Linked DNA regions of Arabidopsis thaliana. The protein of the gene in region 3 interacts with the protein of the main gene of each other region in a pairwise test. Each region holds a gene or a part of one and is shown on either strand. Other genes may lie near its edges. The genes, in order: AT5G43540, SUP, NAC066 and LBD25.

Region 1 (7,496 bases), on a different chromosome or scaffold from region 3:
TGTGAAGGCAAAAGGAGGCACTCTTATTATTTGTCCCATGGCATTGTTAAGCCAATGGAAGGTGATTGCCTTGACAGTTGTGTCTTCTTAAATGTTTTTTAGTTTTTTACACAAGTCTCATGGATTTTCACTTTATTTTCAGGACGAGCTTGAGACTCATTCAAAGCCTGACACTGTGTCTGTGTTAGTTTACTATGGAGGGGATAGGACACATGACGCGAAAGCAATAGCGAGTCATGATGTGGTTTTGACAACTTATGGTGTTTTAACCTCAGCTTACAAGCAGGTTAGAATAATATCATGTGTTAATTTTGTGTTCCAAAACATGTTTGTTTTCTGTTTAGTTGAACTTAAAATTCTGAGATTCATGACATGCAGGATATGGCAAACAGTATTTTCCACAGGATTGATTGGTATAGGATTGTTCTTGATGAAGCTCACACGATCAAATCATGGAAAACTCAAGCTGCTAAAGCCACATTTGAGTTATCTTCACATTGCAGATGGTGTCTGACTGGGACTCCCTTACAAGTAAGATAGTAAAACCAACTCATGGATAGATATACTTTTTTGGCACTTACTGACTCCCTATCTCTTTAATGCAGAACAAGCTCGAAGATCTATACAGTCTTCTATGTTTCCTGCATGTTGAACCATGGTGCAATTGGGCTTGGTATGATCAGACTTCATCTAAAATCGTGCTATTCTTCGGTATATAATTCTTTTTTATTTGACTTTTACTCGTGTATTGTATATGTATATATAGGTGGAGTAAGTTGATACAGAAGCCTTATGAAAATGGTGATCCACGAGGACTGAAGCTGATCAAGGCGATTTTGAGGCCATTGATGCTGAGAAGAACAAAGGAAACAAGGGACAAAGAAGGAAGGTTAGTTTTTTTCTTTGTTTTAGTCCCCTTTTTCTCTTTTCTTTTGCTTGTCTTATGCTTAACTTTCCACTACCTTTTCTGCAAATTCTCAGTCTAATTCTTGAACTTCCTCCAACCGACGTCCAAGTCATTGAATGTGAACAATCTGAAGCAGAACGTGACTTCTATACAGCCTTGTTCAAGAGATCCAAAGTAAGTGTTATCAACTTATAGTTATAGGCTTCAAGCTCAATAAAGTCTGTTATAAGATTGATTATGATCTGTTGTAATGGTTCTTGATGCTTTGGTAAATGCATAACATTCTCCTTTATTTTGGAACAGGTCCAATTTGACCAGTTTGTGGCACAAGGAAAAGTTCTTCACAACTATGCAAACATCCTCGAGCTCCTCCTCCGTCTACGCCAATGTTGTAACCACCCTTTTCTAGTTATGAGGTACAAAGCAAAAAATCATTCAATAAACTCTTTTATTTCCATTGAAATGGATTCTTATACCTGGAAATAAATTGCAGCCGAGCAGATTCACAACAGTACGCTGACTTAGATAGCCTTGCAAGGAGGTTTCTTGATAACAACCCTGACTCTGTTTCCCAAAATGCTCCTTCTCGGGCATATATCGAAGAAGTTATCCAAGATTTACGCGATGGCAATAGCAAAGAATGTCCAATATGTCTGGAGTCTGCAGATGATCCCGTTCTCACACCTTGTGCTCACAGAATGTGCCGTGAATGTCTCCTTACTAGCTGGCGCTCTCCATCTTGTGGTCTATGCCCAATCTGCAGGACAATCCTGAAGAGAACCGAACTTATCTCATGCCCGACAGATAGTATATTCCGTGTTGATGTGGTAAAGAACTGGAAGGAGTCTTCAAAGGTTTCGGAGCTGCTCAAGTGCTTAGAGAAGATCAAGAAATCTGGTTCGGGCGAGAAGAGCATTGTCTTTAGCCAGTGGACTTCATTTTTGGATCTTTTGGAGATTCCATTGCGAAGAAGAGGATTTGAGTTTCTTAGATTCGATGGGAAGCTGGCTCAGAAGGGAAGAGAAAAGGTTTTGAAAGAGTTCAATGAAACCAAACAGAAAACGGTAAGTCATTGTCTAAATTTCTAACTAACTCTTGTCCAAATCGAACAGAGAGCTTAAGATCTTTATGCTTCTGCTTCTGTGATGTATTACAGATTCTGCTTATGTCTCTGAAAGCTGGAGGAGTCGGTCTGAATCTAACTGCAGCTTCAAGTGTCTTCTTAATGGTACCATCTCTCTTCAAGCTTTGTTTTTTTAAGTCTTCTTGATGATGATGAATTGATCATTTGGTTATGTTTCTTGAAATACGTAGGATCCATGGTGGAATCCAGCGGTGGAAGAGCAAGCGATCATGAGAATTCATCGAATAGGGCAGAAACGAACGGTATTCGTCAGAAGATTCATTGTCAAGGTAACACTATAAACTGCAACTTTCTCTGAGTTTCTAGCATCGTAAGCAAGATCTCGTAAGTAAGTAACATTGTGTTTGTTTTGGATGATTGTGTGCAGGATACAGTGGAGGAACGGATGCAGCAAGTTCAGGCAAGGAAGCAGAGGATGATTGCCGGAGCTTTGACAGATGAAGAAGTCCGGTCTGCAAGACTTGAGGAGCTTAAAATGTTGTTCCGATGAGAGACTTGGAGAAAGTCTTCTTTTTAATCGTCTTTTGAAGTTAGAGAGTCTTCTTTTTGTTTTTTTTCATGTAAATATTGGTACAAGTTATTTATCTTTCTCCCCTAATGAGTTATAAGTAATTTTGAACACTGATTGTCTCGATCCACATATTGTGTATATGAACAGTTGAACGTGGATTATGTAATTTTGAAACATCAGTTACGATCAGAAAAACAGACAAAAAAAAAGAAACCAGTTTGGAAAAAGCAGCTTCAGTGGTTTAGATCAGTGGGTCAAAGAAAGATGTGGCAACAAATCTGGTCAAGTTTTTCTCACCATTCCTCTGCTTCTGCAGATGAGTAACTACTAAACTAAGTGCCGTAACCTACAAGCAAGATTCTAATGATTTTGTCTTATATTGTTCCGTAACAAACTACGTGTAAAATACGGCACTGCCAAAGCTACATAATCAAATTTCAGAAGCCAGATTTTTCCTATGCAAATATTGTATGAGTATGATATAGCTACAATCTACATAAGCTACTTAACAAATATGTTAGGTTTTGTCGATTTTCGTCTATCCGATGAATCTAGTCATGAATCAAAAAGTACTAGTGTATACAAATATATTTGCAGGTTGCAACCAAATTATATAGAGAGACGAACATCCAGCCTGGAAACGTAATGTAAGAAAAAAGGAAAAAAAAAATCACTAAAGTAACAAAAAGTGCACCAGCCGGGAATTGAACCCGGGTCTGTACCGTGGCAGGGTACTATCATGCCACTAGACCACTGGTGCTTTTTGCGGAATGTTGTGGAACTAGGATTCTAAACTAATGATGGAAAGCAGACCAAACCCAAACAAACCGGATTAGGTGTACATGTAACGTAATCAATCAATGATGTGGCAGTAATTAAACGAATCAGTGTACTCGAGTTGCAATCAAATGACATCTTCATTTTTTCGAGCTGTTTAATCAAGAAAATACTATTTACGATCACCTAAGCTAATATTTATTTTTAGCCCATAAACTAAAGTTTAGTTTTGTACTCTATTATGTCTATGTTATCTTTATCTCTTTGATAAATTTTTGAAAGTTTATGACTTATGAATTATGATAATTCGTTTTCATCAAAATATTGTTTTTGTTTTAGTAAAAAATGATCGTTGTGATATTTTGTAGTAGAAAAAGTAAGCAGTCAATCGAGACCTAACTTTTAAAAACGTTTTGCGATAAAAGGTTAGATTATTACAAGACAAACACAAAAGGAATATTTTATAAATTAAAATATAATAACACGATTGATTTAAACCACTCCCTTGCCTTTTAATTGTCATCATTTCTTGTAATTTTGTGGACTAATTGAAGAGTTTAGTTGAAGTTGATTTGGATTTCAGTTAACTGGATTAATGTGAGGATTGGTTTTATCTGATTTATAATCAAATCTTTAATTTGTTATGTCTCTTTCGATATATATTTTGTTTTATGTTCGTTGCTTTGTGTTTATATACGAGTATTGTATTGTAAACAAAACTACTAGAGACGATAGTAAATATTGTTTTACTGATTAAAAAATCATAATCTTATAATTTATTCTACATGTGTATTTTTGTTGGAAACAAAACTGTAAAAGTTTTAGATAATTGTGAGATCATCACTACTCACAAAATAAATATATTTTTTCACTGATTTACTAGAGAACCAATTGAATAACATGGTCTAAACGTAATTTTTGAGGAGCAATACCTTCTAGTGGTATAAATTTATTTTGCCTCTTAGATTTAGCTATATAAACTTTCTATTATTAGCAAGTTAATAATTAATAATAGGCTACATTTATAATCTAGATATAAATAATACATGAGAATAAATAAATAAATAAATCCTTCAAATACGGTGATAGTTATAAGAAAAAATTGGTACATAAATATACGAAGAAAGAAAAAGCCAAATCATGTCTTCCAAACATATAAACACACATCAAGAAAAGTATTATTAGTCTTATATATAAATTTTGTTTCCTCTATCATATAAACCATCCTTATATGCACTCAACACATTTGACAACTCTTTCATCTTTCATCTTCCCTTAAAGTCCTATATTTCGGGTATCAATATTTCTTCAAAATATATATCCCTCGATCGATCGAGGCAACACACACATATATATATATATATATGGAGTGTGAGAGATCATCGTCGTCCACGTCATCAGAAACCGGAGCAGTCAGGCACCGTCGTACGTCGTCGTCGTCAGTCTCCACCGTGACGAGACGAATGTACGAGTGCACTTTCTGCAAAAGAGGTTTCACAAACGCACAAGCTTTAGGTGGTCATATGAACATCCATCGACGTGACCGTCTCAACAAGGCCAAGGTGCAAAACGATGCTGACGTGGCACTCTCGCAAACTCATAGATGTTTCCACGTGGCGTCTGACCTTGGAGGCTACGAGCAAGTAGACTCCGTCGTGTTGAGGACGACGACCTCGAACTACATCCAACACTTACGAATCGGCTCGATGGCTACAAGGAGAGAAAACGTCGTCGTTGAAGGAAATGAAATCGATTTGGAGCTGCGTCTTGGCTTATGATCATCAACTTCTTACCCTCTATAGATGTATAATAATACGTTTTTTTGGTGTATATTATATGGTTTTCGAGGTTGATATATGTAATCTAGGAAAGCGTATATGAGACTATAATATGTCAAGGTAAGATATTTTTGGTGGGTATTTATTTATGCATGTTTTGTGATCTATCTATGAGATATATATAAATCTTTTATCTTATATCATATTATTTTCATTATAGTTTTTTTCCATAACATAGTGAAATCTGTCCCATAATTAATTAATTGTCCAGATCTTCGCATTCTATATATAAAAAAATTTGGCAAATAGAAAATCTGTCCCCTGTAAACGGATTAATATGCTGCACCCGTGGTTCTAGGATTGCGGTTTTTAATCCCACCACTGGCGGTTTGGTGGTATTGCCCCATGTTAAAGCCAACGGAAGAGACATCTACACACGTCTCGGATACGATCCTGTCGATGATCAATACAAAATTTTGTGTGTGATGATGTTCCTTAAGTGTGACGACGGCCATAGACAATACGTTATAGAACAAGAGCATCTGGTTTTATCACTAACATCACACTCATCGTCGTGGAGAAAGATCGAGATCTCGGGAGATGCTTACTCCTACTTAGAAGGTGGGATTTGCATCAATAGTGCTATATACTATGGTGTTGGACATACAAAGATAGCTAGATTTAATATTAGATCCGAGAAGATAATGTTTATTCAAGCACCAGAGGATTATAATGCAATCTCATGTTATTCAACCCTTACAAATTACAAAGGAAAATTAGCATGTGTAAGCTATGACTCCTATTGTGAATCTAAGTTGCGTGTATGGATTCTACACGATGTTGAGAAAGAAGAATAGTCAAGCATCATGACTTGTGTTGTGCCTTGTGACAAGGAGCTATCTTTGTGCAGTGGAGAGAGTCATAACAACGAGGTTGTAGTGGTATCTAGATGCTTAAAGTCATCTAAGCACTTTTTTGTTTACTATTTCGATATGGTCAGAGAGAGTATCATCAGAAGAATTGAGGTTGAGATTGATGGAATCGCCGATTATGAGTTTAGACATATCAATGGAATTGGTAAACATGCTCCTAGGATTTTGTGTTTCCCTGGTCACATTGAGAATCTTATGTACTTGTAAGTTCTAAGTTCTACTCTACCATAAGTTCATTAGCTTCTATTTTCATTTTTAGCCGTTTCAAATCGTTTTTTGTAGTTTGGTTACTTGTTCATGGACTCCTTTTAGCCGTTTGTTTTCTCGAACGCCACAACTACGTCTACCATTAGTCATGGACTCATGGTGATCACCTAATGTAAATGAAGCACGAGTTTACCAAATTACAATGACTGTAAATTAATATTTTCATTCAGTTTGAATGGTCAACGCAAATACGGCATTTCTTTAGATGGGCTTATAACGATAATGGGTTACGAACGGCTTATAGCCCATTCAAAGTTCTTATCTTTCAATTTCAAGTAATTTGCTTTCAAGCCCTTCGAATCTACCAAATTCCAATGACTGTAAATTATTTTTTTTTCCCCTCAAAATACATATTTACAAATATTAATTTACTTATGTATACAGACATTAAAAGGCACTAAAATAAGCTAATTATCATGATATAAAAGTAACTCAAGAGGAAAAGTAACTAAGCTTACATGTAATTCATAATTAGGTGACATCAAATTTACTATTTTTTAATTTTCTGCTGAATTTTTTTATTTATTAAATATACTTATTAATATCGAGATGTCTAATAAATATGAGAGAGTGTTTAAAAAAGAGTTTAGACATCGACATGAGACAAACAAAAAATGAAAAATAGTGGTACAAAATACAGATATATAACTTGAAAAAATAAATATAATTTATCAACACAAATACAAGTCCTAATCTGTTATTTATAAATTAATAATCTCAAAATATTACTTTGATATAAAATCAGTGTTCGTGTAATCTATCATTTATGCGATTTTTTAAAGAGATAACAATTTTTTTTTCTTTAGTGAAACATTAATATACCGTTTATTTAGTATGTTAAGTACTTTAATAAAACTCTTTAACAAAACAAAACAAAGTTAAGTATTTTTTAATATATAAGATATTTCTCTGCATGATCCAGGTGGAATTTTTTTAAAAGTTAACAATAGTTTTTTTTTTATAGTAAAACATGAATTTTGTTTGATTATTCCATTAGATAACAACTATTTTTCTTCTTGACAAAAAAGACAAATTTTTTTTAAGTAAAACGTTAATATCTCGTTTGTTTTATTCCGTTAAATAATTGAAATATATAAAATATTTTCCCGCATGATTCACGTGGATTTTTTTAAAAGGTAACATTTTGTTTTCTTAAGTAAACATGAATTTCGTTTGGTTA
Region 2 (8,032 bases), about 15 Mb from region 3:
TTGGTTATCGAACCATATTGATACTTCTATTCGGTTCCACTTCGATCAGTATTTGTTGGTACGACCATTCTAATTTGTATAGTTCCATTTGACTTCTTTAGGTTGCAACCAAACCTTTAAAAAAAAGAATAGAAAAAAAAATATAAACAAAAAAAACAAGACTTGACATGAAATGTGACAGCCAATCACAAAGTTTTACCACGAAGCCAAATATATGTTGAAAATGATAAAAACAAAACCTTCTCAATTCAAATTCATGAAAGAGACTTTCACAATTTTGTAAGAAAATAAACAATAATGAGTCTTATAATAAAGTAAAAATAGTAGTTATTTGAGAAAAAAAATTAGTGATGATGTAAAACACGTAGGGAAGGGGCTCATGCAATAAACAATAAAGTGTTGAACTACTGCGAGTAAACTCTGCAACTTCGATCAACGAAGCTATTGAAAAATCTAGGCCCTTTATTCACAAATGGTAAATAAAAGTAACAAATTAAAATAAAAAGAGAGTGGCCACTAGACTTTTAGACCTTCTCTTTCAGCCGTTGGATGTGTCCTATCGATGATGAGAGATATCATCTTCTAATTTTGGCAGAATCTTTTGTCTAATTCCACTCTCTCTGTCCGAAAATTTCCCATCTTTTTCACTCCATTCACCAGGTAACAGATCATTTCAGGTTATTATAAATTTTGGATAAGTGAAAATTAATGATAGAGAACCGAAAAATATTGGAAATAAACGGGGAACTTTTTCTTTTGCTATACCTTTTTAAATTGGTGGTGTGACATTTCTTTTTAGTTGGACTTCGTAGAAACTAGAAAGAGTCATGCAATTCTAAATTTACTATGGATAGGCGATCATTACTAGCTATTAGGTTAAGAAATCCATTTTCTTTTAGCAAAAGATTAGTGACAACTCATTTACTATGTTTTAATATTGTAGTATAGTAAAAAAAAAATGTCTTTAAGTATATTAAATTTATTTTGCTTAAGACTTCCATTTTTATTTTTATTTTTTTCAGAAGACTCATAATAAATCGATTTTTGTTTGATGGTAAAATAGTTGATGTATTTATATCATTTGGTTTATTCCAGTGCCATTTTTTCATTCGTTTATCGAATTAGTTTTAATTAGTCGGCACATTGATAATCCGTAAAAGACAACGTCAATGATCCACCTGAACATCTTCATCGTCCTTAATTTGGAACCTACTATTATTAATTTAAATAGATTAACGTCGTACAATATATACTAATAACATCTACCACAACATTAAGTATGGTACAAAGATCACAACTAATATGTGTCAAACAGCCCAAAATCCGTCCCACTATATGTGGCATGTGTCATGCAAACAAGTTACACATGTTAATTACTTTGATATAGAACTTTGAGTTAAAGAGACATTTTTGCTGACGCGCAGAAGAACAATATTACATTTGCGTGGTTGTAAAATTATAAATTTAAGGATCTTGAAAAATACAAAAACAAAATGTATAAAGTAATTTAATTTCAAGTCAGAGAACCTTAAGAAATCCATTGGTTAATTCCGCAATACTTTGAGTCTAATCATTCCGTATGAGTATGTTGTATTAATTTATTCAGTAGATACTCTTCCTGACGTGAATAACTAATCAAGGCACTTCCGCCTGTGGCTCGTCGATCCACCGTGGTTGCCGTGAAGTTGGGGATTTCGGGTTCACCGGATCTAAGACTCCGGCCACCGTGCAATCGTCCATCAGAAGGGTCCGATCCTTCAATTCCGTCGATAGTTTTCTTTTTTCTATTGGGCTTTTGTAACTGGATCAGATACTTGTAATCTTCAACCCAAGCCCATTTGGAATGTTATCAATGATTTAAAAAAAAAAAAAAAAAAAAAAAAACTAATCAAGGCACTTTTCCTAGCAGGTCAGATTTTTTATGAATTATTTTGACGAAAAAAAAGGGTAAAATATATTATTTATTTTTTGTCTTAAGTAGCATATTTAGAAGATAAAACAAGACTTCTACGAATATTAAGCTCAGCTGATTTTTTTTTTTTTTTTTTTTGTCAATTGGTGAAGTGTAGTAACATGTAACAAAAGTTGGATTTCAACGAGAGGAGTGATTGAAAAGGGGCGAGATGGTTAGATAATTTCTTGTGTTTCGACAATTGTGAAATGTGTACATATTGGGTATATATATATAAAGCAGTTGAATGTGTAGTAAATGAGACTTTCCTCGTTGGTGAATGTTGAGCTTTGTAATTGCATTTGTACGGTTCCTCCAAACTATTTGCAGTTTGGCCTTTTAACAATCCTACTAGTAAATCTATTTTATCCAAAGAGTTCAAACATAAAATTCTTACATTCAATTTCACTAGATCAATCATATGTAAACCATGCATGAACCGTATTTTAAAATCTAATTTTATTTAAGGAATTTTCAAAACATATTTTTGTTTTTACGTATCTTCGCAAATTTATGCGATTTTAAATTTTAGAACACAGATGTTATTAAACTCAAGATCAGCTCGACTCGGGTTAATTATATCGCAAAACAAATCTCTTAAAATCAACAGGAGTTGCTTCCCAATTCATATAATCTGTCCCCTCAAATTTCCCTAGATCCTTCAATATTATATACCTCACAGATTCCTCTATATAGAACCATAAAATGGAAAATTTAGCAAGTTCAAACATTTAATTTTCATCCCATAGAATGTTCCAGATATATAATTAAACAACTCCAAATTAAACATAGATATGTGCCGACGATGAAATCAATGTCAAGTAAAGGGTCACAATTTGAGCAAACACAACACATGTTGAAAGGAATTGGTCCAGAACACATGGTGATATATTAACTATATAAAACAAAAGAAAGGGACAATGTATGAATCTATATAGTATTATATAAAACTTTGAAGGAAAGGCAAAATCTAAAGACCTAAGTTTAATAATAATGTGTGTCGTTATTTATGATTTGCTAACAAACAAATGTCAAGATATGGCTCACGAGGAAAGCTTTATTAATACATATAGATGATAAATTCTATATTAAATGTATTTAAGAAAAATGGGAGAAAGGAACATCCACTTTTCCATTTTTGGTATAAAACTTTTGATATAATATGTCCTTTTGCTCGCCGAGGTTTTCCTTATTTATACACTCCCATCTTTTACATATTCACCCATCACTCTTTCCTCTCTACCTTTTATAATAATAACATATATCTACTACTTTAAGAGAAAATTATGATTAAAAATAGTGTTTTCTCATGGTATCTACTGCTTGTGAAATGTTTTATTTGTTGGTCGCTAAATTTGTTGGTGTTACAAAAGTTTGATATTCTGTGATTTCATCATGTTTCGATTGCGATACAAAAACGATAACTTGGTTATTTATAAAATTTTCACAATGCTTGTTTTACATAACATGATTACAAGACAATTGACTTTCTTTTTTGTAAAGTGAAATCCTACACTCATTTCTACTTCTTTTTCCCCATCCCATTCTATTATTTCTTTTTCCTTTCAATAAAATCATATTTTATGTTGAGATATTTTTGATAGTGCGATTTTCTTTTTCATTTGTGACAAATTGTTTGAGGATTTTATCTATAAATTGTTTGACAAATTGTTCAGACTCTCAATATTAACTTCATTTCCTTCTTAATTACACATATGCTATCTTTACTCCATATATCTTTTAGGTCTCGTTAAAATTGTGAATATGTTTAATAGATAACACTATAAACACTATTTCATGATAGCATAAAATCACTGAATGGTATCTTAAGACAAAATTGGTTGTTGATTTTCACGAAACTTAAAGGTGTAACATCATTAAATGAAAGTAATAGATGTACTTAATTAACTTGTGTCATCTCCATAGATCAAATCATGGAAAAGCTCGCTTAATACATGTTTACCCCAACATAAATAAAGCTTTTTCTTTAAAGTTTCATTTTATTAAATCTAAGATGGGGATTTGATAATGCGTCCAAGAATCAGTCTCTTTCACAGTCTTAACACCAAAGAGCCCCAACCCTATCATCACACACACCTCTCTCTCATCTCTATATCTCTCTCTCTCTCTCTAAGAGACAGACAGACATAGATATATCTTAGATTTTTCCCAGGGGAAAAAAGTGAGTTCATCTTTTCAGATCTTACAAACACTTTGCTTTTATAAACTGATGTACCACAAATCATTACTAGTACTATCTTAATTATCTTTACAATTTTTTTATCTAGCATAGCCAAAAAGAAAGAGCTTGCACATATGGAGAGATCAAACAGCATAGAGTTGAGGAACAGCTTCTATGGCCGTGCAAGAACTTCACCATGGAGCTATGGAGATTATGATAATTGCCAACAGGATCATGATTATCTTCTAGGGTTTTCATGGCCACCAAGATCCTACACTTGCAGCTTCTGCAAAAGGGAATTCAGATCGGCTCAAGCACTTGGTGGCCACATGAATGTTCACAGAAGAGACAGAGCAAGACTCAGATTACAACAGTCTCCATCATCATCTTCAACACCTTCTCCTCCTTACCCTAACCCTAATTACTCTTACTCAACCATGGCAAACTCTCCTCCTCCTCATCATTCTCCTCTAACCCTATTTCCAACCCTTTCTCCTCCATCCTCACCAAGATATAGGGCAGGTTTGATCCGTTCCTTGAGCCCCAAGTCAAAACATACACCAGAAAACGCTTGTAAGACTAAGAAATCATCTCTTTTAGTGGAGGCTGGAGAGGCTACAAGGTTCACCAGTAAAGATGCTTGCAAGATCCTGAGGAATGATGAAATCATCAGCTTGGAGCTTGAGATTGGTTTGATTAACGAATCAGAGCAAGATCTGGATCTAGAACTCCGTTTGGGTTTCGCTTAATTAGATGGTAATAACTTTATCCATAAAGGATTCGAAGTTCACAATTCTAGAAGATATGATGCTTCTCTAAGGTTAATTAGTTTCATCCATATGAAATTCTCTAAGCTTGCTATTTAGTAGAACGTTATAGTTGATTATATGATTATAGTATAAGCTATAAGCTTGCGTTAGATGTTATATAATATGTATGCGCTTGTTACCGTTTTATGTATGACAATGGATACAATTTTGTCTCCTTAATTATTGTTTATCTCTTCGATCGTATATAAATTTCTACATATTTTAGTTCTTACGTTTCATGTAAATTGATATGTTAGACTTAGTTTACTTTTTGTTTTGTTTTTTGTTTTCTGAAGATTGATAATTTATTTTTATCTTTTGCGTGCAAATAAATAAGTAAATATATATATATATATATATATATATATTGGGGCAGCCTATATACAATTGCACAGTTTTCAATAATAACAACATAGTTAGATAGATATATTAGATCTTTTTTTTAATATAATATGTATGAAGAACTACAAAATAGCATGCTTTATAAAAGTAATGATTATTCTTTTAACCGAAAACATAGTTGATCTTTTGGAGAGGGATCGTTTGTTATACTTTTTTTAATCTACTTGTTCAATCCATATCTTTCATCTCTACTACGGTAGTGGAACTTGTAGGTCGCATCTAGATGAAACTAAATTTGCTAGCTACTTCAAATTGAATTCCTATACAAGGGCATATATAAGAAAAAAGTAAAACATATCAATGAGTTCTGCCTTGGAACGATTCACTAGTTTCAAAACTTAAAATTCGCACTTCATATAGTGCCTATATATGCTGATCATATATCGTCAAGCAAATTGGACACTGTCTTAATCTCCTTCGAACTAACACATCTAACCTACCTTTTTAGGTAACAATTAACAAACGGGCTAGTAAGATTCGAAATAGATAGTTTCGTGGAACATACTAAATAGAAATTTTCATTTTATTAGTAATTCTTCGTGTACTTAGGGTTTCTATCTTCTTATTTTTTCTGCTATAGAGATACTAATTTAATTTAATAGAATATCATTTATGAAAAAGAACATGTTATTTGATGGAGTATGAATCTTCACATGTATATATCATTTGCAACTATGTCTTTTTCTGATAAGGAGCTTTTGCAACTTTGTTAGTATCAGATATCACGTTTATATGTATATGAATTTTCGGTTGGCACACTAGAAATTAAATTTAATATTTAAGCATTTGAATATGCTTACCACAAATCAAGGCTTCTGTTGTTTGTGAATACGAAAAGAGGGCTTTCAGTTTCTTCAAACTCTTGACACTCATAGCATTTTTGGTTAGTTTTTGTCATTTTGACTTTTGTATGATAATTTATCAATTTATTTCAAATCTGAATGGGTTGAATAGAAACTGTGTTTGCGTGTGATCTTGACTAATTGTACAAAAATATAAATATTTTTGACTGAATCATTGCACTGAGGGTAACAAATCATTATTAGAAAACAATTCCCAAAGCATATTTCAGTTTCATGAGTGCAAAATCTGTAAACATGTCATAATTTACTCGATCGCCATATATTTCCTTAATCTTTTTCTTTTTCTTTTGGTTTGAAAAGGTCAACACGTACGGAACAAATCATACAAAACTATAGGAAGATATTAAAATCTCTTAAATCAGTAACACAGATACGCAACACTTGTGTATGTGACGACCATAGTTGGATTTGGACAAGAGGGTATATATGCTGGAAGTTTGGTATTCCCCAAAACCTGAGGGTTTGCATGTTCCCGACAATGTCTGGGTTTTGAATGGCATGATGAGCTTTCCTTTTATAGTAAGTTATGTTTTCGTCAGTTCTAAGCGTTACACATAACTAAACAGTACAAACTCCTCCACCAAATTATTACTTTCCTTGAAAAGCATTAAAGTTTTTCCTCAACACTTTTTCACATACTCAAACACCAGCCACTTCAAATGTCTACGCACCGTTATTATTAATTCTTAATTTCTTCATCTATTCTTTTTCTTCATCTATTTGATCATCTCTCTTTTTCATTGAATTTTCCGAAATATTTCTTCATTATTTACATATAATAAGTTAATAATTCATCTTAGTACAAAAAATTAACGCAGATTCAAATTTGAGTGGTCTGGCAACTGTAAAGATAGCAAACCAAAAAAAAAAAAAAAAAAAAGATAGCAAACCATTAGCACGACTTAAATCCATAATTTCTTTATTTTCTAAACCATTTAATGAAAACGCTTCAACAATTTCAACAGCTACAAAAGTTTACATTATAATTTCAGTTGTAAGAACACCGTTATAAAAGTATCTTATATAGAGACATATATTTTGAGTCATTGAAAAATATGTGAGACAAGGATAATAACAACAGATCATCAACAAAATTAATAACATTCAAATCCAAATATATGGAAAAAATTGTATCTCTAAAGCTATCCCGGCAGGACTTGGTATCTTTAGCCTCTTTACAAGCACATTAGCCACTACATATTAATATAATATATCCATCATCCATCTCTACGGACTCGACTATATCTAATAAAGCTCTATAGTCCGTACATAATGTCAAGTGATGTCAAGATCTTTTCACATAATGTATGCATGTGTGCATGCATGTCAGTAATTAAAGTCATGAATAATAATCGGAAGTTATATCATAGTGTGACATTGTACATTCAAGTAATGAAGTAAATATATAAATGAGCAGATATAAAAGAAGAGCCCAAAGGGGCACTAGGGCTGCAACGTGAGGCTCAGGCCATCACATTGAATGACTTTGATATGATGACGTCATAAGACAATGAAAACACATAGAAAATTGTAAAGACAAATAGGCAAAGGAGAAGCTCATCTTTGTTGTTATTTTTGTGAAAGTGGAGATAGACATGGGCACATATTGGTATTAATAATACCAGAACGTACGTAGTATTAAAAATAAAAGTGATACTTTCATATGAAGTATTAGATAACAAGTTGATGAACAAATTAAGTAACAAGTTAGGCAAATATCACATTTTATTTGGTCATCAAGCACTATTTCTTAATTATGTGAACAATCATAGATATACTAATTGATGCCAGGGTATTATTACAATTACTCAAATATTTAATGTGC
Region 3 (8,073 bases):
CATTATTAGTGTTGGCAATGGTTTGGGCCATATAGTTTGTTGATGTTAGGCTCAAATGAACTTCTTTTCTTTATAATTAAGAAACTTAAAATAAATAATTAAAAAAGTATCAGACAGAAACCAAGACCAAGATTGTACAGAACAATTTATACTAAACTCAGTTTAATTTAGGCTAGCAAAAAGTACATATGAACCAAAATCACATTTAAGTCCCTAACTAAACACCGATACACTATCTCACTTGTTTTTTGTTTTTTTTTACAAAAATAATAAATCAAACTGACAAAAACAATAAATGAATAAAATATCATTTGTATTTCTACAAATCTTGATTCTTTGTTAGTATTTGCAATTTCAGCATGTGGTATGTGAGAGACTGTGACAATTAGCTAGTGGTCTTTTTAAAAACAATATATTTTGCACTATGGTGGGCTCAAAGCTCTCTAATATAATTTAAATAATAGGAAGAAAAAAAGAAGAGTATGTAATATGGGCCATTGCCCATTAGGACCCTTGAAATTAATAATGACCCGCCAAGAAATTGTTGGTGTACGTAATTGAGTGCACCGAAAGGTACTACTGTTTTTTTTCCTTCGTATTCCAGAATCTTTCTTTTTTGAACTCCGTATAATATAAAAAGACAAAATGTTATATTGTTGTAGGACATGGATCCACACAAGTTATGTGACATTATATTAATCAATTCGAGTAAAAACAACATGCAATTATATACTCTGTTGATCTGATAAGATGTACTCTGTTTGGTCCATAGTTTCACACGTTCCATTTATAAATTTATAGAATTAGTTTTCGTGGAGGTTTTCTAACAATTTGGTAAAATGGTTAAATTCATTAATCATCCATAATAATTTTACAAAGATTAAAGTCTTTTTGTCTCTGTCGGCCTTTTCACCTTTTGACCTCACGTGAACATTATTACCCCTATCACTTACCTTTCTAAATGGAAAATAGGTTAAGGAAAACCATTTATCTTACTTTTTGTAATTTGTTTAGATAAGGTTTTATTTTATTTATTAATCTGCCAATTATTCTACAGAAATTAGTTCATTTTTTATTTTACCTTCAAATGTTTTCTACTTGTTGTCAATTGTTCTACAAACAGACCATTGCCAATTACTCTCAATTCTCAAATAACCAAAAATAATAATCATTTATCTTTCAAAGACTAAAATAATAGTAATGATGATAATATCGCAAGCACAATATCTTCGGTCCTTTTGTTTACAAGAAAAGTGGTGGACCATTCGCAATTTTCATTTTTTCTTTACGTCGTAAAGATATATACTTCATCTGCTCAAAGAAAACGTTTGTCTTAAACCCTTCTCCGTCTTGGGGTTTTCTTTGGATTCCATACATTACATATACACAAAATAATCAGTTATTATTTCTAACTTATGTAGCAAAAATGGGTAACTGCGTATTCAAAGGCAATGGTGGTTCAAGAAAATTATACGATAAAGATGATTCGTTGATAAAAGTGGTGACTCCAAACGGTGGCGTGATGGAGCTTCATCCTCCCATCTTCGCCGAATTCATCACCAACGAATTTCCCGGCCATGTCATCCACGACTCTTTAAGCCTCCGCCACTCATCTCCACCGCTTCTCCACGGCGAAGAACTCTTTCCCGGTAACATCTACTACCTCCTTCCTCTTTCTTCTTCCGCAGCCGCGACCGCTCAACTGGATTCCTCCGACCAACTATCAACGCCGTACAGAATGTCTTTCGGGAAGACGCCGATAATGGCGGCTTTGAGTGGCGGTGGTTGTGGAGTGTGGAAGGTGAGGCTTGTGATAAGTCCGGAGCAGTTGGCGGAAATTCTTGCGGAGGATGTGGAAACGGAAGCGTTGGTGGAAAGTGTGAGGACGGTGGCGAAGTGTGGCGGTTACGGCTGCGGCGGAGGAGTTCATTCGAGAGCGAATTCAGACCAGCTAAGCGTTACGAGTAGCTTTAAAGGGAAATTGTGGTAAAATTTCGAATTATGAATAAACTACGTTTATGTTTTAATCTGTTTCACGATTTAAGCATTTAAATTAGTATGTTGATTTCCGTATTCATTGAAGACTTGGAACGATTATATAAGTTTATCAACGTAGATATATTTGAAATATCATTGTTATCTCTCATGAAACAATTAATTTATGAAGTCGTAGACTCGTAGTTAGAGATTATTTAATCTTCCCTATTCAATGCCAAAAGTCTAGAAGAGCAAAACAAAAGGGAGAAACTCTTTTATTTCAGGCCCAATGACACAAAGCTGGCCAGAAACAGTTTAAGATTAGGCTAAAGTTATAAGTCCGACAAGCACGAGTGCTAATATATATAGTTATATGACGTCTCACCATTAAGGGTTTAATAAATTTTGAAACACCTCAAATTAAGATTGCTTCCCATGCAAACTTCCTTCATCTTCTAGAAAAATTACGATTTGTAATACTTCAATTATATCATTTTAGTTTTTTGTCACTAATTATCATCAATTTATCATAGCTCCGTGCCGCAACAACGTTCGTTTTAATCAGATTATATATTACTCTGCTATAAACTCAGAACCATGTTAGAAAAATGAAAAAGACATTTCAGAATATTCATTAACTCAAAATTTTAATCTCATGATTTAATTTTTTATTAACAATGTTATCCTATAGCACATGGCAAATTTGAACGGCCCTTGCGTATTAATCTATTATAATCTCAAAACCATGTGTAAGAAAAAGGAAATTCAGAAAATAACCTTTTGTAAATAGGCCCCCACAAAATCTACAACATACGTAGATACCTCCTCGCTTACAGTTGTAAACAACTGTTCATCTAGATTCATGCCGTCATTCAAGTTTAAATTAATACAATAATTTAAAATTTTAATTTGGATGAATCGAATCCACCGTCGTTTCCTGAATACCAGATAGGTTAACTTTATGATTAGTTCGAGTGAACCACATGCACAATATTCGAATCTTAGACATTCGTTGCAATGTTAACTTCACATATATTTGATAAACGCTTCTTGAATCAGATCTTAATCTCTTTCTTTCTCTCCATCTTCTAAGGAGGTTGTGGATTATCATGTAGTATATCATTATCTTCGCATCACCTTCAACAAGAACAAGCTACGAGCTTTAAAGTCGTATTTAACACAATAATGTATAAAGTCTTTCTTCATCACATCACATACATTTTTTGTTGCCATCACCCTTCATTCACTTTTTTTGTTAACACTATTCGTTTCTATATAAAATAAAAATAAAATGAGGAATGTCTTGTCCATAGAGATTTTTAAGGTCGAGGGTCATCGGAGCGATGTGGGCTTGCTTCCTACATTATAGTTGATATGTGGATCCCGCGTGGACCATATTTTTACCCAATAGCTACGTGCATGGTCCCACCGCTCTCTCTCACGCACTATTCCGAAATTGCCATAAACAATTTCACCGGACAAAAAGAGCAAATAATTTCGATGTTTAATAAAGAGACCATTAGTATATTTGACCCAAAAAAAAATAAAAAAAAAAGAGAGACATTACTATAACTTTTATTAGATGAAATATTGCAACATTGTATTTATAACGGATCTAATTTACTGAATCATATTTTTTTTCTTTGTTAAAGAGATACTGAATCATGCAGAAAAATAGATAGATTTTTAAATACTAGGTGAACTCATGACGAATCAACCATTACGAGAGATTTCTGGATAAAAGCAAAAACAAAACAAAACTAACATGCTAATCTAGGCAATTAGTAGAGCGAAAAGTCGGCAAAACCAAAGGCCGAAGAAGCTTGATCGATATACTTTTTTTTTTTTGTTTTGGCTGGATATACTTGGTATGAACTAAGAATTAAGTAAAAACTCATAGGGAGTAATTTTTCGAGAAGTGCATTCACTATGAGTATAAAACAGACATTTTCAAATTATTAAAACAAGCTCTTAGAGGCTCATATGTTTAATTGTAAGTGGCGGCTCATGCGAACTTATAATGAAAACATCAAATATTCGGAAAAATAATACTCCACTGTTAAAAAGAAAACTTAACAAAGGAATTAAAAATATGAGAGCAAAAGAACACATGCATTTTCTCATGCATGTACTATTATTTATTTTTTTGCAGAGTTGATGTAAAAAATATACACATATATATAGACATACTTTGGTTAGTTATAAACTCGTTCTATTTTCTTCTCCTTTTTCTATCTTTAGCAATGAACATATCAGTAAACGGACAGTCACAAGTACCTCCTGGCTTTAGGTTTCACCCAACCGAGGAAGAGCTCTTGAAGTATTACCTCCGCAAGAAAATCTCTAACATCAAGATCGATCTCGATGTTATTCCTGACATTGATCTCAACAAGCTCGAGCCTTGGGATATTCAAGGTTCATCATTTATCTTTTATTCTTGATGAAACGTATTAATAGGGCTTGTATATATTAATTAAATTAGTTTTTTAATGCATGTGTTGAGTCAAGAACTAAAGCTCTGAATTCAGGAAATTTTGCAGAGTAATATATACTTTTTGTGATAATAAAATTTGCAGTAACAAAATTCAGTCAAAACTTAACACAACTCTTGTTTTTTCTATGTAGAGATGTGTAAGATTGGAACGACGCCGCAAAACGATTGGTACTTTTATAGCCATAAGGACAAGAAGTATCCCACCGGGACTAGAACCAACAGAGCCACCACGGTCGGATTTTGGAAAGCGACGGGACGTGACAAGACCATATATACCAATGGTGATAGAATCGGGATGCGAAAGACGCTTGTCTTCTACAAAGGTCGAGCCCCTCATGGTCAGAAATCCGATTGGATCATGCACGAATATAGACTCGACGAGAGTGTATTAATCTCCTCGTGTGGCGATCATGACGTCAACGTAGAAACGTGTGATGTCATAGGAAGTGACGAAGGATGGGTGGTGTGTCGTGTTTTCAAGAAAAATAACCTTTGCAAAAACATGATTAGTAGTAGCCCGGCGAGTTCGGTGAAAACGCCGTCGTTCAATGAGGAGACTATCGAGCAACTTCTCGAAGTTATGGGGCAATCTTGTAAAGGAGAGATAGTTTTAGACCCTTTCTTAAAACTCCCTAACCTCGAATGCCATAACAACACCACCATCACGAGTTATCAGTGGTTAATCGACGACCAAGTCAACAACTGCCACGTCAGCAAAGTTATGGATCCCAGCTTCATCACTAGCTGGGCCGCTTTGGATCGGCTCGTTGCCTCACAGTTAAATGGGCCCAACTCGTATTCAATACCAGCCGTTAATGAGACTTCACAATCACCGTATCATGGACTGAACCGGTCCGGTTGTAATACCGGTTTAACACCAGATTACTATATACCGGAGATTGATTTATGGAACGAGGCAGATTTCGCGAGAACGACATGCCACTTGTTGAACGGTAGTGGATAACGGAAATGGAAGAGAGGAAGTGACTAAGTGAGTGACATACCAAAACATTGTGTAGAAAGATATAATAATCATCATACCATATATATAGTTGTTGAAACTTTTACGGTATAAATGGTCAGATTGTGATAATTACAGTACGTAGTTATGTGATATCATTACAGAAAATAAAAGTTCTCTATATCTGTGTACATTTTATATCATGATTAACTTTATAGAAAAGAATTGGTTGCATAGTTGAATTTCTTTGGATCAAGAATATTAGTTTTTGTCTTTTTGAAACTTAATTGCCATTCGATGAACAAAAAGGCAATTACATTTTCTACTGTAAGAAATCATAGTCTGTCACATGCATCGCCGGGTGTTTTCTAATTACAATTATATGAAAAAAGGATTTTGACCAAAAGTTGATTATGATTTCAAGAGAGACAAAAGACCAAAATGATAATTAATTCGTCGACAAATTAACTTTAGGAACAGATGATTTCCATTACGTTAATTATTCAAAGTTTCTCATTTTACTCTCAATTAAACTGAAGTTTTATTTACTAGAAACTTGAGATATTTAGTTGGTAAATGCTTAGTTTGATGTTGAATAGTTTGCTTCATTCATCATTAGGAATAGATTAATTACCCAATTAATCACCCCAACAAACTTGGATTAAGATGCACCAAGTGCTTAATAATAGTAGCTAATTAACCTACCCATCAAAGCTAATCACACTCATTATTTTTCAATTATAGCATTTAATCAAACAGTATTCGTTCTTATTGTTGAATAATCTCTTTCAAGGTGCGGAATCTTACTTTTGAAGAAAAATGGAGGATTCAAATATTCTCATCTTTCTTTTTATCATGTGATAATATTAGTAACAGACTCCATAACTGTAACGTTTTGACCTTTCATTTTCCACTTTAGCTTTCTGAAATTAGATTCGATTTATTATAATGATGTATTGATATTGATCATGTTGTAAATACTAAACGCAACAATTACATGAAACTTGAATTCGAGGCATTAATTTTTCTCTTTTCTCTTTGACCTTAGCTGATGCAAAATGGAGGATTTCTCAAATATCCTCACTGTTATTTATTTTTTATTTTTTGGGTTAAACCTTAATAAAAAATATTGGAAATATCAAAAATGTGTGGGCTGTTACATGTGAGTTCTGCTTGGTATTAATTGTACCACAAGTATATTGGGCCAGGCCCATTTTATTAATAGGTCAATAACGACATCAAATGGACTGTGAGTGTAGGTCCACTCGATGTCTTAATTCGTGAATTTTAAATTTGTGAGACCTTGTTTTTTTCTCTTTGTTATTCCCTTATTAGGAATTGACAAATATAATATACGGTATAGGATTTTAAAGTACTAATTAATGTTCGGTTGTGGTACGGCTTGAATATGTAAATATACTTTGATTTTCGTATAATTTTCTCGCATCATCACGTCCTCTTCTCTCACGTAAACTGTTTGATGAAGTAAACAACACAATGGAAATTCCGACTTCACAAAAAGCCGTATGATTTAACACACGAAACATATAGTATATATTGCTAATTTTGTGCCCTTTATGGATTAGTTTCAAGTAATCTTTCACTGACTACTAATGTAAAAAAGAATTAAAAAAATAAACACAGGAATAAGAAAGGGCATATTATTTATAAAAAAGGTATGCTAATTATTGTTATAAGCATTATTTAACAAATTAATAAAGGCTTTCCACTAATAGCGACACACTCGACCGACAAATGAATCCAGGCCACTTATTACATGTGATTGATGACTGATGATCGTTTGGCTTGAGTGGATTCGTATTCGTACTCCTTTGCTTACGGGAATTTGGGGGAATCTCCAGAGTTCAAACAACTAATGAATGTGTATATCGTTTACTTTTTAACTTTTCTACTTTGATATAAAGAACACCATAGTATCTCTTTGTTACAGAGATATCACACATAAATAATAATCAAAATGATTCTTTTAAAATGGGGTAAAAACTACAGTACTCGCAAAAATTATATTAACATAGTTATGTATTTGTGTTGGAAGCCAATACACAAAAAAGAAAGTGAAAAAAAAAAAAAAAAACTTCTTGGACTTTCTTTAGTTTTCATGCCTAGTGGTTGGTTGACTGGTTTGTATTGAAAAGGGTAGTATAATCTTTGGAATTAACGCATTGAGTAAAGACTTGTTTTTTTTTTGGATTAGAACATTGAGTAAAGACATCGATTAGAAGAGACTTATTTTCATGCCTAGAGGTGCCCATTTTTGCCGACTTTTTCTTCCATTCCGTTATTCATATCTTTGGAAATATCGAGTACAATAACTTAATTTTCTTATTATCTCTATATTCGTTTTAAGTATTTCTTAAAATCAAATAAATTAGGTCATTATTTATAGAAAGAGATTTCTTTTCTAAACTCTCTGAGGACAAATATTTTCTTTATCTGTAACGTAGTCTATATGGAAAAATAGATTTGTTTTTCGGGTCAATAAAATTTAATGCGATGTCGAAACTGGCCGTTACAACAGAAAGATACAAAAAAAAGATAAAATTTGAAATCAACGGAGAATCTCTTCTTCTTTTTTCTCCTAACAGATATAATAAGGGAATTAATTTGTTTTTGTCGTAAT
Region 4 (8,852 bases), about 13 Mb from region 3:
TTCTTAGTGAGTTAGTCCTCGTCAGTCGTCAAACAGTCCAGCTCTAACCAAATATATTCTCTCTTTGCAGAATCTATCTATACAACACGCTGCGGCTTGACAAAGGACCTGTACAATCTTTCTCTGGCTGCCGGATAGATTCTTTCTTCGTAAGGGTAATGCCTCCTTCACAATCTTCACTTCAATCACACCATTGATTTGCTTTTACAACATTTTTCACCTGCTCACTCACTGTCTAAATCTTGCTCTGCAGACGATGATTAGTCCTGATGGTGAATATGTTTTGAGCGGTTCAAGCGATGGAAACGCTTACATATGGCAGGTTTGGATTCTGTTTCTTAGTTTAACAATTCTCTTATAAACGAAAGATTCGAGAGTTATATGTAAATGCTCAAAGCACCATTGTACTTTCAGGTCAATAAACCTCAAGTAGATCCTATAATCTTGAAAGGCCATGACTTTGAAGTTACTGCAGTAGATTGGTAACTCTACTTAACCAACTCTTTCTTCACTGCATTCAACTAGCAGACATGTCGATTCGATGATACATAACTAAACTGTTTCCAAATCTATTGTTCAGGTCTCCATCAGAGATTGGGAAAGTTGCAACAGCTTCAGATGATTTCACGGTAACAAAACATTTCATATATGTTGACACAAGCAAAAGGTTAATGAATTGTACTGATTCCATGGCTCTTCATAATTAGGTACGACTATGGAACATAGAGAACAACATATGTACAAACGCAAACGCAACAGCGTCTGTGTCCAGAGTTAAACGCAGAGTAACCGCATTGTCAAACACTGAAGCCAAAGAAAGACTTGAGATGAACAGAGAAACTGAGAGTCCCCAAAAGCATTCATCATTATCATCAGATGATGATTATAATAATGATCAGTCAATGCCTATCATTAGAACTCCAGAGTCTCAGAAGAAGAAAACATCATCATCATCATCATTGTCATCATTATCATCAGAAGAAGATATAATATGCGAGAGAACACCAGAAACCACATTCAACAGTCCATCCTCTGTACTAAACCCTCCTTCCTCAGTCAAAAGGCGAACCATTAGAGATTATTTTCTCGTCACTCCCTAAACACTAATCTCTTTGCCAATTCTTGTTCAAAGGTTATTGTATAGAAATTGTAAGGTTTATTAGATTCGGGTTGATATCTGATAGTTTTGTAGGAAGTAAATCAGAAACTATTAAAAGCAAATGGCAATATGACAAAACTAATACCAATCTTTCCAATTTGATATATTTCATTTAACCGTAACGAAGCAGGGATGTTTCATGTACCATGTCATTCTTTATGTGAACGTAATTTATGATATGTCGTTCTAACAAAAGGTAAATTCTAAATCCGAAATACTTTAATCTAACATCCATATAATAAATTAGACCGTTTACATACAAAACATGTTAAAGGAAAATATTACATAGGTCATAACAATGAAGTATAAAGGTCATCCAAACATGTCAGAAAATTTACACAAATAATTTATTTGTTCCATTGCTATTTTCTTAATTGCTCTTCTAAATTTTATCATTGGTTGCAAATACTATGATCTTAAAAAACATGAAATAATTAGTTGAATTATTAGCAAAATAAAATAAAATATAGTTGACACTTGACAATAAGAGTGGACATCACTAAAACTAATCGTATATATTGGGTTCGATGTATATGTATAATGTAATAAGAAAATAGGTGTTTAACAAAAATAAAGTAAGAAAGGGTGTGTGTGTTTTTTTGGTGAAATGAAAGGAGGTGTGTAGCCAAAAACAAAAGAAGAGAAGAGGTGCATTATTTCTAAATAAATTTTGATCAAATAATTGTGCTTATGTAATGATTGTTGAGGACATATCACACTTGACTTGCAATCATTCCGTCGACATTTTTCTGTATTATACATTTCGTCAACAACCAATCCACAAAACCCCAACCTATGATAACTAAATCACAAAAGTACATTTGGTTTTATGGGTTGATACAAACTTGAGATCAAGCTAGGTATAAATTAATCTCAAAAGTAATCGCAATTAATAGGATTCATTCGTTAGTTAATCGATCATATCCTGTATAAATTTTGTTGTAACAACCATGCAATTTTCTCTAGGATTTAAGCTATTGTCAAATTTCCTTTCAAAATAATTATCGAAAATTTTTAGTTCGAAAAATTTAACGTATAACATCACTTTTAATTTTCATTATTCGTATACGCTATACTTACATTTAAACCATTTATTTATTTATTTATAAAGTTTATATATGTATATAGAGAACTTACCAGGTTTTGTTATCCCAATTGTCCAATTGATAATTAAAGTATACCGACTTCTAGTTATAGGACTTCTAGGTGCATGCATGATACATACATGATGCATTATGCATATACATGAATTCTTCTAAAATGGATACATAATTAATTAGCACACACACTATCTTGGCTTCTTCGTTTCTTGGACGTCTTGGCTTTTTTTGGTCGACCCACATTAGCTTATTTTATATACACGATAAGAGACATACATTTTCATTCGCCAGGCCTGATCTTATATATTTATGTATAGCCGTATAGGGATATTTGTATGCATGCGTATTCAAGTGCTTCTTCTTTTCCGATCTGAATTGGTCCTTCTCTTTTCATATTTTCTTCACTTTTTCTTTCAATTTTCTATTATTTTTATACTTTCTTTGTACACATACTATATGAAGCATATCTGTATACACTGAAATCTAATCAGGAAATACGTAAAGTATCGTTACAAGAAATACGTAAAATAATGCTTGCCAATGATTGATTATCTTATCTAATCATTGGTATAATCTATATACGCACTTGCTACCAAATATTGCACTTATATGGAATATGAAGCATATATATGTTTATGGAAACAATAATGCCTTGGTATCATCATCACTTATATATATCATTTTAATTTTGTAAGTGCACTTGGATTAGAAAGGATATATAATTATATATCAACTACTTTGTTTGGTATATCTTTTAGGTCTTAATTTCGTTGGATGATTAAAGTTGTAGCTGACCAATACTATGCTAAGTCGCTAAATATTTTAATTATAGGAAATATAAGATCTATAATACAACCACAAGAGTTATCCAACAAACAACAACCTTTTTTGTGAATGGTATCTATATTCGTTGAAAATGACGGTATAATTTTAAATAGAAATTGATTACAGTTTTTTCTTTTCTTTGTTATGCACTATAGAAACTTTTTTTTTTTTTTGGATTCAAGCATGTGGCTCAACCATCAGGGTATGTCAAATTTTTTGAATGAACACATCAACTAATTAAAAGAACGTAAAAGTTAATAACTATTTTTCAGAAATGTAAACAGTAAAATCAAGACGTTAACAGTTAAATTCAATCAAGCAAAATGACAGTACACATGTCGGATTTGCTCAGATCCTCAATAGTTCTGATGTTCTTGTAAGTTTGTATCCCAAAACTTTCTGAAATTTAGTTTAAACAATATATTTAAGTGGTCCAAAGACTTCACAAACATTTTTTTTTTACGGAATAATAAAACGTGGAAAGGTCAAAGGTAAATAAATAATACTAATAGCTTACTAATTAAGGTTTATCATTAGTTTTAAATAAATAATACTAATAGCTTACTAATTAAGGTTTATCATTAGTTTCTTTATAAAATGGTTCGGACTCCTGAGGGTATATGGCTGTACCTTAATTTAAATACATGAAAGTATTGGTTTACTATCATTTGATTTTCTTTCATTGTTAAATTATCTCATATATTCTTAAGTTACATAATAAAAGAGTATTTTTTCATGACAAATTATCGCTTTTATATTTTACATACTTACTGAACCGTATCATATCACATATATAAACAATATTATATACTAATGGCTCGTTTAATTTTTTTCTTTTTAATAAATTAGTTGACAAAAATTATAAATTAGTTTTTTAAAATTTAATAGAAAATACGTTATGCTGTCAAAATTAAAAATAAGATAGAAAATATGTTGTATATTTAGTTATTTACTAAAAGCAATTGAATGGAGTAAAATTTGCCACGGTCAGAGTTATTCTTTCTTAAGTTCACTATTTTAGGTCCTCAATTAATTGAGGCCAATTTGTCTTTTTGTAATCTCATTATATTCATCTTCTTTCTCTTTCTCATCGCACCAAAAATGCCTTTTGCCCCTCTCTCTCTATATCCAACCCATGTCTCCTCTTTATCTCTCTAACTTTCCCCTTAGAGAGATTCCTCTTTCTCTCAAACTAGGGTTTCCTCTCTGAAAACAACAAAAATATCCCAATAATTGCAAAATCTACTTGAAGATTTTTCATTCTCCTTTCTTATAATTAATGCCCAAGAGAGAAACAAAGAAGATCAAACCTTCTCAAGAAGTTATCAAGGAAGGACCTTTTCTTGTTGCGATCCATTTAAAGGTAAGACCAAGAGTTTTTCATTCTGTACAGCCAATTCACTCACACTTGCATAATATATATACTTTCTATATATGTTGATTGATTATATAAATTTAGAGAGTTTAGATCATGAAAATTTGATCACTGGTCTTGAACTACCAAGTTATAATTTGGACGACCTTTTTTCTTTACAAAAGAAAGAAGAAGTTACAATTGAAAGTGAAATCAGGAATTCGGGACTTCTAATATACAGTGAAAGTATCCTATATAGCAGGTAATAAAACTCGGTCATAAATTCAAGATTCAAACTAATATGTAGTACATGTGGGGAACTCAGAGTCAGAGAGACAGAGAGTGCTTTGATGAGAACATGTTGTTTGTTTGTTTAGAACTAATACTAGCTCTAAAACGTAAAACCTGTGTGAGTAATTCGAATTTCCGACACCCATTTTCTTCATATTACTATGAATATCATATGGACGTTTACATTTTAATGTGTAATGTTACACAAGTTTATATAATTTCCCATAATCGTCTTGTGTGTTAGATTCACCAATAACTTTTTAGTATGGATTATTCTCAATTTCCCAAGATTTTATAATTATGTAAAATTAATTCATTAGACAAGGATGTATATATTTGTTTGAGATATATTTGAAATATAAATTTAGGTGGTATAACATCTTTTTGACGCAGAAAGAACACTATGAATAATGAATTTTAAGGATAATAAGATAGGAACATGCATCATACGTCTTCTAAGTTATATTGATGATGAGACTATTATTTCTAGTTACCATTTTACGTAGAATATAATGAATTTTGAGGATTAAAAGACTAAGAACATCATACGTCTTGTAAGTTATATTGTATTGATGATGATACCATTTTATTGCTACTTTGCTAGTTACCAAATTCAAAATGGAAATAAAACATTTGAAACTGTATCAATTTTTAAAAAGTGTACGTAGACATATTGTTGATAAGATATTGATAATTGATGTATATAGAAGAAGAAGAGACTCCAGAGAATTACAATATCGATCGATATGGATCAAAATTCATATCAATCTTATACTGTAGTTTCGAGAATTACTAATAAGATACTATGATGTGATTAAATCGTTTTTGCCATTTTTTTGCAACTGAAAAATCAGGGGATATATATGTCGAACTACACAAACTCACCGTGTGCAGCATGCAAATTCCTCCGGCGTAAATGCACGTCAGACTGCGTATTCGCACCCTATTTTCCGCCGGAGGAACCTACAAAGTTTGCGAACGTCCACCGGATATTCGGGGCAAGCAATGTGAGCAAGATCCTCCACGAAGTGGCTCCCCATCAGCGGGAAGATGCGGTCAACTCGCTGGCTTACGAGGCGGAAGCACGACTTAAAGATCCAGTGTATGGCTGCGTTGGAGCGATCTCGGTGCTCCAAAGACAGGTCTTGAGGTTGCAAAGGGAACTCGAGGAGACAAATGCTGATCTCATGAGGTACGCTGGTTGTCTCGGTGGTGAAACGACGTCGGCTTATGGTGGTCGGAGGGGTTGACTGGTCAACGAGAGTTGATTAGTCATCATCACTCTTTGAGAAAATTAGCGGCGGAGAAGTATAAAGAGAGAGAGGATGGTTGATGTGATGGTAAGTGTTATTAGTCGTATGTATATATGTGTAAATATGGGGACATGCATGCATGTATATTTATGTTTATTTTCATGTATATACTTATGCGTATGTGTAATTTAACTTGTAATTTTTTTTTCATGGGAGAGGTCAAGGAATATTTTTGATGATGTTGAATAACTAGATCTTGCTCATGCTCATATCTCCATAACTCTCTTTAACTTGATCTAGCTCCACTGATTTACATGTGGCCCATTGGTCATTATTCACAAGTTTTTTAGTTTCTGCTAAAAGATTTATGTTCTAAATTATGTATGTACACATATTTCATTGATTAATGACAGATTTTCTAGCATTTTATAAAGTTGCATTCAACGAATTGTGATTGCAATATTACTATTGTATTATGATATTCAAAAGAATAAAATTTCATGTCGACGGTTTTGTATAGACTCATAGGAATGTAGGCTAATAATTGGTTGTTTGATTACACACACTAGTCACTGGTCAGAAACACAAAGTTGCTAATATTTTAAGTTAATTGAGTGATTTTATATATTTGTCGACTTGAAAAAAGTTTAAATAAATTAATCAATTTAGAAACACCAAAATTTTGTAGCTTTAATTTAGGCACATGTCTTCATAGGGAATCTCTTTTTAAAGTCGGTCCTTTTATAATTTTATGTCATTTGGGGCGAACTAACAACCACATATATTTACATACAAATCAACTAATCTTGTCAAAAGAAGAAAATAACAAATGGAACTTTTCTTTTTGATGAGTAAGATTGCTTATAGTTTTTTAAGATTGAGTATGATGATACCCTAATAATAAGTTAAACCAAAAGCTCAATTATTCATGTATCTTAAGATACGGTATAGTTTCGGGTAGGGCTAAGCACGATTATTTGTTACTCGATCCTGTATCCATTATTTGCCTCATATCTGTTTTGAAAAACAAGTCTATATCCTTGTCGATACAAGTAATAATTAATATAATTTATATACTTTTAAATACAAGTCAAGTAGCAAATAACTAAACAAAACTCATATATAACCCGATTGTTTTATCCTAATCATTTTATTGTTAATAATAAAAATTAGTGATGCCAAAACCAGTAACACTATTACTTTTGTACTAGTACTACTTTTTACCACTTATTTTTTGAAATTATTTCGTTATTTTTACTGTTATGTCGTTTTTTTTTGTACCACTCTATTTATTGGTTACAAAATTGCCCAAAGAAATACCAAATGACGCATCATATTTATGCTGTAATACTCTTTACATCAATTGTGCTTGGAACAAATAGCGACAATTTTAAGAGAATCAATTGAGTTAGTTAACAAGCATCTTTTGTCCAAAAAAAAAAAAAGTTAACGAGCATCTAGTCGAATGTGTATATATTGTTCACATGTTGATATATTGAATGCCAATTATGCAGGACAAATAGTCATACGTAGAGTTCTTTGACTTCCATGCGTGGATTAACAAATTACATGTCGACGAGACAGGGGGATTCAAGATTTGTGTACCAAACAAACATGAGTCAGTTTCAGAAACAGTAACTAAAGGTACATTCATTTGTTTAACTCTTTTTAAACAACATTATATTTTTTTATTATCACACTATCACTATCTACTGCAGAAATATGATTGTTTTGCCATGTGATAAATCATATCAAATTGTACTCATTTAAAGACTTTTCCTCAATTATTCCTTCCATCACTTTCATTCTCCCTAAAATCTCTCATAATTTTTCTTTTCTCATCGATGATATCTTTTTTTATACAATACCTAAATAACTAATCATGAAATAAAGTGTAGTAGTTTGTGCTAATTGATGGTATTGTGTCACTATAAATGTTGATTTCAAAGAAAACTAAACAATGATAACAAATCCTTATATTTTCAACAAAAATTCTTATCTTATGCAATTGAGAAAGAAAAATCTATAGTTTATTTTTTCTCACACATTATTCTTACAATTAAACTTTTGTATATTCAAGAAGTGGACTTGTGACCATATAATAATCAAGAGAAACTATTGTACTAGTGTCCCCATGTATAGAAAACCTACTGTTTTAGTACTTGCTATTTGAGCAAATAGACATAACTTTTTACAGGTTAAATCCAAGTTTGAAATCAATCTCATCGTTAAAAAGGTGAAGATCACACAAAGAAAACGTCAAATGGATCATACTGGGCCCATTTTGCAGACCAAGAGAAAGTGAGAGAGAGTTGTCCTCTCGTTATCAAGTAACAGTAGACCACCACTAAACCGCCCAATAGCTTATAATCAAAATAGAAAGGTCTAATAACAGAAACAAATGAAAAAGCCTTGTTCCATGGACTGCCTACCCGAATTGATTGATTCGACTAGTTTTTCTTCTTCTTTGATTAAGACCTCCGTAAGAAAAATGGTACTACTAAAGCCACTCGCTACCAAAACTAAACCATTCCAGACTGTAACTGGACCAATATTTCTAAACTGTAACCAGACTCTAAACATATAAACTAATTAAGAACTATAACCATTAACCGTAAAAATAAATTTACTACAGTAAAAAATTATACTAATTTCAGCTATGATGGAATTTCAGCTCTTAAGAGTTGTGGAAATCAAGTAAAATTAAAATCATAATAATATTCTTCATCCTTATTTTTGTTTCACATGCATGCTGTCCAATCTGTTATTAGCATTTGAAAGCCTAAAATTCTATATACAGTACAATAAATCTAATTAATTTTCATTACTAATAAAATGCTTCATATATACTCTTGTATTTATAAATCATC

The links.
Region 1: the proteins of NAC066 (region 3) and AT5G43540 interact in a two-hybrid assay, tested with the Arabidopsis thaliana proteins (one large-scale study listed by BioGRID).
Region 2: the proteins of NAC066 (region 3) and SUP interact in a two-hybrid assay, tested with the Arabidopsis thaliana proteins (one large-scale study listed by BioGRID).
Region 4: the proteins of NAC066 (region 3) and LBD25 interact in a two-hybrid assay, tested with the Arabidopsis thaliana proteins (one large-scale study listed by BioGRID).

The regions. Positions count from the first base shown.
Region 1 is NC_003076.8:17,492,290-17,499,785, forward strand, and holds AT5G43540 (C2H2 and C2HC zinc fingers superfamily protein), read left to right. Parts: upstream 1-4,565; 5' UTR 4,566-4,703; coding exon 4,704-5,117; 3' UTR 5,118-5,405; downstream 5,406-7,496. Other genes in the region: AT5G43530 (Helicase protein with RING/U-box domain-containing protein), read left to right, coding at 1-61, 143-286, 379-531, 606-673, 767-889, 982-1,081, 1,211-1,323, 1,401-1,971 and 3 more; AT5G43550 (F-box associated ubiquitination effector family protein), read left to right, coding at 5,603-5,974.
Region 2 is NC_003074.8:8,238,237-8,246,268, forward strand, and holds SUP (C2H2 and C2HC zinc fingers superfamily protein), read left to right. Parts: upstream 1-4,019; 5' UTR 4,020-4,267; coding exon 4,268-4,882; 3' UTR 4,883-5,136; downstream 5,137-8,032.
Region 3 is NC_003074.8:22,926,555-22,934,627, reverse strand, and holds NAC066 (NAC domain protein 66), read left to right. Parts: upstream 1-4,171; 5' UTR 4,172-4,220; coding exon 4,221-4,392; intron 4,393-4,602; coding exon 4,603-5,435; 3' UTR 5,436-5,622; downstream 5,623-8,073. Other genes in the region: AT3G61920 (UvrABC system protein C), read left to right, coding at 1,427-1,990. UniProt on the Arabidopsis thaliana protein: Transcription activator of genes involved in biosynthesis of secondary walls. Together with NST1, required for the secondary cell wall thickening of the anther endocethium, which is necessary for anther dehiscence.
Region 4 is NC_003074.8:10,234,368-10,243,219, forward strand, and holds LBD25 (LOB domain-containing protein 25), read left to right. Parts: upstream 1-4,146; 5' UTR 4,147-4,363; coding exon 4,364-4,447; intron 4,448-5,583; coding exon 5,584-5,979; 3' UTR 5,980-6,281; downstream 6,282-8,852. Other genes in the region: AT3G27640 (Transducin/WD40 repeat-like superfamily protein), read left to right, coding at 71-155, 254-322, 415-482, 581-629, 708-1,100.